Bombyx mori: one gene and its partner. The main gene of each other region encodes a partner of the protein of the gene in region 2 in a complex. Links are inferred from orthologs where the notes say so. Each region holds a gene or a part of one and is shown on either strand. Other genes may lie near its edges. The genes, in order: glucose-induced degradation protein 4 homolog and armadillo repeat-containing protein 8.

Evidence for each region.
Region 1: the proteins of armadillo repeat-containing protein 8 (region 2) and glucose-induced degradation protein 4 homolog are in contact, whole or in part, in a cryo-EM structure (PDB 7NSC), measured with the Homo sapiens proteins. The link is inferred for Bombyx mori from reciprocal best matches to the Homo sapiens genes ARMC8 and GID4. Residues at the interface, in NP_001350870.1 of Homo sapiens: Glu309, Pro310, Asp311, Val312, Asn371, Glu373, Arg406, His409, Arg413, Ser414, Val415, Gln416, Arg419, Thr420, Gln423, Asp424, Val444, Ser448, Cys451, Asn452, Leu455, Phe457, Ala483, Val486, Asn487, Trp490, Met493, Asn494, Phe497, Gln498; in NP_076957.3 of Homo sapiens: Leu104, Ile105, Pro106, Pro107, Pro108, Pro109, Ile110, Gln114, Pro115, Gly116, Val117, Ala118, Thr119, Gly125, Gln146, His147, Tyr154, Cys156, Tyr158, Phe174, Glu176, Phe239, Val241, Pro242, His244, His292, Ser293, Ala294, Pro295, Ile296.

What each region holds. Positions count from the first base shown.
Region 1 is NC_085123.1:10,770,794-10,775,284, reverse strand, and holds glucose-induced degradation protein 4 homolog, read right to left. Parts: upstream 3,091-4,491; 5' UTR 2,772-3,090; coding exon 2,625-2,771; intron 2,425-2,624; coding exon 2,257-2,424; intron 2,166-2,256; coding exon 1,933-2,165; intron 905-1,932; coding exon 841-904; 3' UTR 131-840; downstream 1-130.
Region 2 is NC_085117.1:9,114,684-9,119,054, reverse strand, and holds the start of armadillo repeat-containing protein 8, read right to left. Parts: upstream 2,925-4,371; 5' UTR 2,811-2,924; coding exon 2,787-2,810; intron 2,704-2,786; coding exon 2,490-2,703; intron 1-2,489. Other genes in the region: ankyrin repeat domain-containing protein 54, read left to right, coding at 3,834-4,371. UniProt on the Homo sapiens protein: Component of the CTLH E3 ubiquitin-protein ligase complex that selectively accepts ubiquitin from UBE2H and mediates ubiquitination and subsequent proteasomal degradation of the transcription factor HBP1.

The DNA of each region.
Region 1 (4,491 bases), on a different chromosome or scaffold from region 2:
TCTGAATTTCAATGAATATTTAAATCATGAAATTATATGCCAGTATTTAATTGTAAATAAATGTGTTGAATTAAAATGAAATCTAATGAACTCGTATTTTCATTATATCTCCATAAATCAAACAAGTAACTTATTTATAAGATGTTTTATTTAAAAAAACGTATTTATCAATGCTTCAATAAAATCATATTGAATTCTTGATACTACATTTAAAATTAAGGTCTGTTCTGTCTGTTCATCAAGTTGTACAACAAAATTTTCTGATCCTGCACATATTTCATTAAATTTGATTGGAAGCTAAGATGACTTTGGACTAAAATTGCTATTTATGCCATAAACAAAAAAACTGATACTGATAAAGGCAGCAATAATTGATCTTAATTGGCATTTACTCTATATCATCACAGCCCACAAAAATGGAAGCCGTTTGATACTAAACAGAAAAAAGCTGGGAAAACACTACATAGAAAAAAAACGACTAGCAACACAATAATCTACTTACATTCAAGTCATTTGTACAAATTATCACATACGCAGCATCATGAAACTTACTTCTTTATCTACATAATTACACTAAGTAATACAATGAAAAATTTCAAATAATACACTCATTTTTCTCGATCAACAAGAACAATGAATCTCAGTTATTCAAATATGTGCAAGAACAGACATGTCTCATTATGTTTAGTTTTTTTTAAATGTTTTTAATTGATTTTTGTTGGTGAAATGAACCATCTTTTTTTTCTGCATCTGAATATTAACAAATACTTTTCTTTTTTATGAACAAGTAAGTACTAGTAGACACAAAAATATTGTTCCAAATTTTAGTAACAAATATTTTCATCTGAACTCATATATTTGAATGCTGTGTTCAGGAACATGACTTAAAGTCAATGACTGATACCTGAAAATATAAAAATAGTTATTACAGTTTATTAGTTGTTTAAATTCCACTTGATTATTTTGTGCAGATGTTACTAGTGAAGCTTTTCCTTATAGTTATCCTACAATCTCGAATTAAAAATTAAACAATAACAAACAAATGTGAAGGTATTTAAAAAAGTTCTTAGCAAATGAAGCATATGGAATATACTGGTATTCTTTTAAATTAAACATAACTCCCAGTTCTATATGGCAAATTGACTCACATTACACAAAAATATGACCCAGCATTAAAAACACAGCACTATATATAGCTGAGCTGACTGAATATTCAGAAAATAAAAATATATAATCCTGTGTCACACAAACCACAATCACTATTTTCCAATATCTGTCATCATGTGACATCACATTATTATCTGAACAAACTCTGACCCTATTTCCTATGTTGAATATTACTGATTCAGTATCTTTCAAAATGCTTAGGTATCTACTGTACTGTTTGAGGTGAATATAAACCTATTATTTGCTATCACTCCTGTGTGGTATTACTTTGAGGACATATGACATCTGTAATGTACCTAAGATGTTAACTTGGCTTTGCATTAATAACAACTTACATTGCAGTGACGATAAGTTGTAACCAAATTGAACCAAGCTATTATATTATATTATAGTATATTGGCCCAAGAGCAGGAGTGGATTAAAGTTTACATTTAAAAAGTTATGTTAACAAATATATACAATAAATTCAAAGTGAAAAAATAATTTGTACAAAAATATTTAAATTTATCCACCTCTTTCTATCTTTTATAATTACCAACGACAGTAAAAGTTTACATTTTACAAGTACAGTTTAATAATGTTATTAACTAATGAATAAAAATTAAATTATGTAGAACACGAATATTATTTTCGAGTGAATTCATAGTATCTTAAATTTTCTAAATTTAGTCTAATAATAATTTCTTATTCATATCTTCTAATAAACTTATTAATCTTGCATTTATATCTATAGATTTTTTTTAAAATGAAATTGTCATAACTTACCATTCTGAGCTCCGGTGGTAATAATATCCTTCTATTGTGGCTGCAGACTTATGAAAACATATATAATAAAAACCAGCAAAAGAAGCACCATTTATATCCTTTATTGTATGATCCGGAACTAAAAAATGTTCTTTCCATCTCATAAACACATAATCAGCCTTTGCTAGAGACTCATAATCAAATGAATCCGAGTTGAAAGTCTTTAAATATGGTACAAATAAGTCAAATTTACTCTAGAAAGAAATAAAAAGAAACAAATTTAAACAGTCCTACAAACTATGTTATTAAAGTGTTTTTATTATAAAATTAGATAACTACACTTACCCAATGTTTCCTATCAACATCTTCATCAGCATCCCATTTTCTTGTTAGAAAGGGATATTTGGATGAAATTATTTCACCATCAAAGAATGTTGTGAGTGTTGGAAATTCCTCTGTTAAACCTTTTATTTTTAAATATCCACAAAGGTATGAATTTTCTTCGTCTACGTGCTGTAAAAATAAGTTACATAAGTTTCTAAAATTATATACTTTAACAAAAATTTAATAAGCCTTTGAGCCCCATTTGTTCAAAACATAGATGTCATTGCTAAGTCTTAAAGTAATTACTTTATAAACTTTTACAATTACATCCACAGAAACACGATAAAATATTGTTTATCAATATTGCGTACTTTGTTATTGTGACTAACCTGCAAAACTACTTCGACTTCATAAGAGTTGCCTTTACTTTTTTGATGTCCTTGAAATTTAGAGCCGTTGTAAAGGAGGGATTTTGTCACACCAGGTTGTTTTGAATTAGCTGGTGGAGGTGGTGTAATGTCTACTTTCACTGGCATTATTTTTCCATAAGACGATGACCTAGCTCTTGTAAATGTGACAGTTGCAGAACTGAGCGATGAGTAGGTACCGTGACAGACAGTAGTTACGCTAGCCTTTCAATTCTATCTAAATTTTTCGCTTATTGATAGAACATATGTTTTACATGATGGTTGTACGATTACAATAAAAAGGTAAAAACAGATATGCTGGGGATCTTTCACATCACTTAGACTTAGTGAAAGTTAGGAAACAAACACCGCAAATAAAATTCCTACTTGAAAGCCAGGTGACAGTGATTTTGTAGTAGTAGTTCCGTCTTCCAATAGCAAAGGCGAAGATATCACACCACAGAGCCTTTAGGAAATATGTTTAATGTTTATTTATTTTGTTATGCATATATTATAAATATAGATAAGTGAAAAAATTATATGGATGAAATGAGGTGAAAATAATTTAATTGAGACTAATTAATGAAGATGAAATTAAATGAAACAGGACGAGGGGATGAAATAAAGTCTCATTAAAATGGTGGTTACAAATACACAAAATTTAGCGGGCTTTTTTAAAGAACCCGGAAAGCAACATTTTCATTTTTCCGCATTCATAAGTGCATAAATAACAATGCACACATAATAAACAGCTAATAGACCACCGTTATTACATGTGTAAGCCTGACCAAATACTAAAATAACAAAACAAAACAATTCAGATAGTTTCGGTCCTCACGTTCCCGCCAAAAAATCAACTGAAGTCAGTAGTGATTTTCGTTTCATCAACTGACTTCGATCTCGTACTTCATAGTGAGTTGCAATATTCACGCCGTGGTATTTAATAGTCATCATCATCATCAGCCCACAAACGTAATTACATTCAGGTAAACCATCAATTCTTTTAAGCTATTGCATAGTTTTTATCGCGGGCTTTGAACGTGGCGACCGAATCAAGAAATTCCGTAACGAAAATAAAACCTAACACCATCCACTCCACCTACCATGTAGCTCGTGTTCAACATTTTCACACGTTGCACTTGTGTAGTTTGTGAATAAGCGCGCGGCGTGACGTCACGTCGCACTGCATGCGAATCATGAAAAGTCTGCCCATCTCTCTCTCGCGCGGTCTAGTTTATGAGTGTGAAGGGGGCAATTATTGTTTTGCTTTTGTTAATGTTTATAAATATAGCGTGGACTTATTTGATTTTGTTTTTTTAATATTAAATTATTATTGTCTAATTATAATTGCGTAAGTTGATAAAAATGCTATGTTATAGCTTTACCGCGGCAGTCCCCGAGTGGCACACGTGTTTTTTTTTCCCCTACCTATGCTACATACTATGCTGGTAGCGTCGAGGGGCTATACCAGCTTCACCTAACGTGTAGACGATCTCACGGGATTCAATCTAGCGAATATGATATCTAATTATTGGATAAATTAACTTCCATTATAACTTCGTATTTTCTTTCAAATTATCTTAAAGGTAAACTGGCACCAAGGTTTTGATAATTTATCAAGTAAAATTTTTGATCGAAGGCAGTAATAGAAACAACAGACTATGCCTCCTTGGAATCGTTAAATCAAAGATTTGACCCTATAGTCGTAACCTTCTTTGCCTTACCAATTGGATGAACTTGAAATTAGAAGAAAATGTCTTTGATTCGTCGTTTCGTTGATTTCAGTTTTCCTACTTCATTGATTTCAATAGATTGATATGTAAACTGTTTTGTTTTGTGGGTTTAATAG
Region 2 (4,371 bases):
AGTGTCATTGTGTAAATCAGAATATACAAATGGTTTTGGCTTGTGCATGCTTGTCTTGTACATGTTGTGTTGATTCAATTTGAGTTTTTTGTCGTTTATGTTGTTGTTAAACTACTGGTGTTAATTGATTTATTACACTTCATGGATTTATCTACATAGGCAACATATTAATGCATAAGACATTGACTACAATACCCAATTGAATTTTTTTGCAATTTTAGCAATTTAGGAATTTTGTAGCATTTAAGCTAGAGTCAAAGAACGCATAAACGTAGGTTGAAAAATGGGTTCATTTATATATTGAAGCATAAATTCTGCACAGATACACTTCAGAAAAAAATATAAAATGCGCCTTTGTTAAAATACTAACAAATATGAACATCTAACATATTGTGTGTATTATGCATTATAGAGCTATTGCAAATCTTAATAATCTCAAGCTCGGTTAAAAATTTTTCAATTTTCAACTGCTGATGAATTATGAGATAATCTATGACCATAGCAACTGGAGTATTTAGAAACATCAGAATATGTTTCAAATATGCCTAATAAGATACGTGAAAACTTTCAACATCTATTATCTAATCTAATAAACAATATAAAGGTTTTTGATTTGCCTCTATTTGTATACCACATCCATCAATCAATCACAAAGATACATGCTTATGGTGTAATGTAATGGTTTGTTTGCTTAATAACTTATTTGATTACATCATCAAATGGACTTTGATTTGACATTTGTTTTTATAAATTCTGTATTGAACATTACATTCACACCTATGAGTGTTAATTTTATCACAAAACATTTGATAAACTCTCAACCCAAGAAGTAAGTAAATGACAAAAACATCAAAATAAAATGCAACATCTAACTTGGAGGTCCCCAAACTTTTTATCTTTGTTACATGATATAACATAAGACATAAAATGTTTTATGCGCATTAATTTTATTTAGGTATTTATATTATTTCTTATATATGAGTCGACTAGTATCAAAGCCGGCAATGTGACTTTTGGACAATTATTGGTAAATCAGAAAAACGAATTATTGACTTTGTATTCCATTGGCAACCACAAAACTCTTCTGAACGACATCTTAGATAAATAACAGGTTAAGTATTAACCTTTATTTAATGCAGGTTTTGAACCATATTCTTTGAAGGAGACGATTATATTCAAATCAATCTGTATTGACATATCAATAACATTTTCTTGTTCAAATGTACAGACTGCCACCTTTGATAATAGACGACACATATATAGCCAAATAGACATAACATGTTTTGAAGATAATTTTTAGAGTAACCTATGTTTCAATAATAATCTAAAAATTAATAGCTGTTCGTTAGTCTCGCTAAAACTCGAGAACGGATGGACCGATTTGGCTAATTTCGGTCTTGAATCTTTTGTGGAAGTCCAGAGAAGGTTTAAAAGGTAGGTTTAACGGCCGTCTGGTGTAGTGGTAAGTGACATGGTCACTACACAAGGGGGTCGCGGGTTCGAACCCCGCCAAGGGAAGATATTTGTATGATAAATATAAATGTTTGATGTGTCCCCCGTCGGACGGATTCCTTTTGTTTGTTTTAAGTTTATTTTATACAAAAGTTTAGTCTTTTATTTATCCATCGAGGCACTACAAAGTCTGCCGGGTCAGCTAGTACTATCTATAAGGATTATTACATTAATTGAAACTCAAAATGATAGTTCATGTTAAATATTATTGTGGACCTCCACATGTCACCGACGCCAATTTTTTACTTTGGTTCTTTCTTCATCAATGGCAATCAATATAAGGCTGTATAATAAGGTGTTAAGGTTTGTTTATTTGTTTGTGAGTTTGTGGTAATCTCTGAAACTATGAAATCAATTCTGTAAACCATTTTACTTCCCTTACTTTGAGTGACAATATTATGAGATTTTGGTAAAAATAAGTATGTGGTTTGAAACATCATAATTTAAAGTCAAATCAATATTTAAAAGTAGCTGTTAGAAACTAGTATCCTGTAGAATAACTTTCTGTTCAGTTTACATATGAAAGTACACAACCAAGACTTTACAAGAAACCGAATGTGAAACTAAAAAAATAAAAATGACTTTTGTCTATTTAGTATTTAGAAATTATAAACATTAAGATAATCATGAAAGCTTTTATAAGTAGCAAAATCATCTAGAAAATAATCCCGCATTGCTGGTTTAAGGAAAACAATAGCTTATGCTGCATCTTAAATTAAGTGATTTGCGAATTTCATTTTCATTGTAATTGTAAAAATGTTAATTTACATAAAATAATGTAGATTAAATAGTGTAGTACAAAGTAAATAATCTATCAAACGTCAACTTTAATGTAAAAATTACAGTTAATATACTTAATATTGTTTGGGAAGCTTTCATACTAATATTATAAGAACAAAAATTTCTGTACATCACTGTGTACACTAATGTATATCACTACCATGTATTAATAGGTTTATGAAGGAATGAAATTTTACCTATTGTAATAGTTGCCTCTAGTCTAATGTTCGGATCCAGTGATTCTTCAGACATCAATTGTAGCAGCCTTGGAACTACCCCTTGACTGATCACTGAACTCTTCTGTCTGTTGCTCCCTATTACCGAGTTCTTCAGCGTTACCAAAGCTTCCATTACCTTCACCGCATCCGAAGAATACAACTCGTCGATATACGAGCGGGAGCTTTCGATATCCTATTTGAAATCTTTTTAGGTTATAAAATATCATAAGAGATTTTAAAAGTCTTAATTAACTCAAAGAATCCTGTACTACGTACCATGAATACTGTAAACTGTTGCATGTTTTAATCAAAATATACGCAGTAATGTTGGTAAAAATAAACGTTCGAAATTCAGATCGACAACCGAGGCCGAACTACATGTCAAGATTGTCAAGTGTTAACTGACAGTGACAGTTCTAGACCATAGATTATACACTTCTAGACCGCGTTAAAATTTAATATCTTTAATATTAAAAAAATTTAAAAATTACATAGACCAAGCTTCTCTACAACATTTTTTTTTGCTAGTACTGGTTAGTTGACTATGAGCTTTGACAAAATCCTACAAAATGTTCATTTAAAGCTACCTTACCCCAAATTTTCACCTGTCGTATTCAGCAAAGTTGTAAATAGTAAAAAAAAAGTCCCAAGTTTGTTTTTCTCTATACCGAACTAGAGGTATTACAATTATTTCGTTTCGTTTGTATTTTTAAAACAATCGATACAGTCGTGCTCAATAAAACACAACATATCTACATATACTTTGCGAATGTTACAATAAAAAAAAAAAGGAAACAAATACTGTATTTAAATGTAGACCAGATACTTATTAACTCCATGATTTAAATTTTAAGCAAACTTTCCTCCACAGTAGGCCGAAATTAATTCGGAATTCTGGATCATATAACTGATATCTCGTTTCAATTCTGCTAGAAAACGTTCCGAGAGGGCATTCTTTTCCATTAAAGTAAGTAAGATTACTCTTCGATCGTATTAAAAAAAATTGCAGAAAAGTGGCATAGAGTATTGTAACTCATGTGTCTACCTAAACTTTTTGACATGTGTTAGGCACTGAAGTATAATAAAAAAGTCTATCTTAATAAGTAAATATTGGCAGTTGACATCTAAACGCTGACAATTTGACATTCATAAAATCATACAATCCATTTCAGGGATTTTACAAAAACAATTCGTGCTGGTCGTGATATTTATTTACTATTTTTGAAACAAAATATGAAATTTTGGTTAAAGTACAATGTACATTAATTAACCTGATAACGTAAAAGTGTGATGATCTAGTATATTTCATTAAGAAACTGCATAATGACAGACTCTGGAGTCGACACTGGAAATGAGAGCAGCGATAATCCTGTGTTTGATCATTCGAAATGTGTTTTGGAATTTAATCTTCCAGCAATTCCTATAACCCAATCTGGTCAGCCAATGCCAGTAGAGTTTTTAGATGAGCCACATGATCATGTCGGAAAAATTAAATGCTCCACAAAAGCAAGACACTGCCGTCTTAAGCATAGATACGGTGGAACAGTTTGCGCATCCAGGAATCACAAGTTGCGGTTCGCGGCTTCCACGAATAACACAGAACTCGTTGAACGATTATTAAAAGCTGGAGCGGATCCTAATTGTTCAGATGAGCACAAAAGAAGCCCATTGCATTTAGCAGCTTGCCGTGGCTATGTCGATGTAGTGAGAATACTTCTGCGTCACGGTGCTAACCCTAACAATAAAGACACACTTGGAAACACACCTCTTCATTTGGCTGCATGTACTAATCACATAACAGTTGTCATTGAACTATTAGATGCTGGAACTGATGTCAGTTCACATGACAGAAATGGCCGCA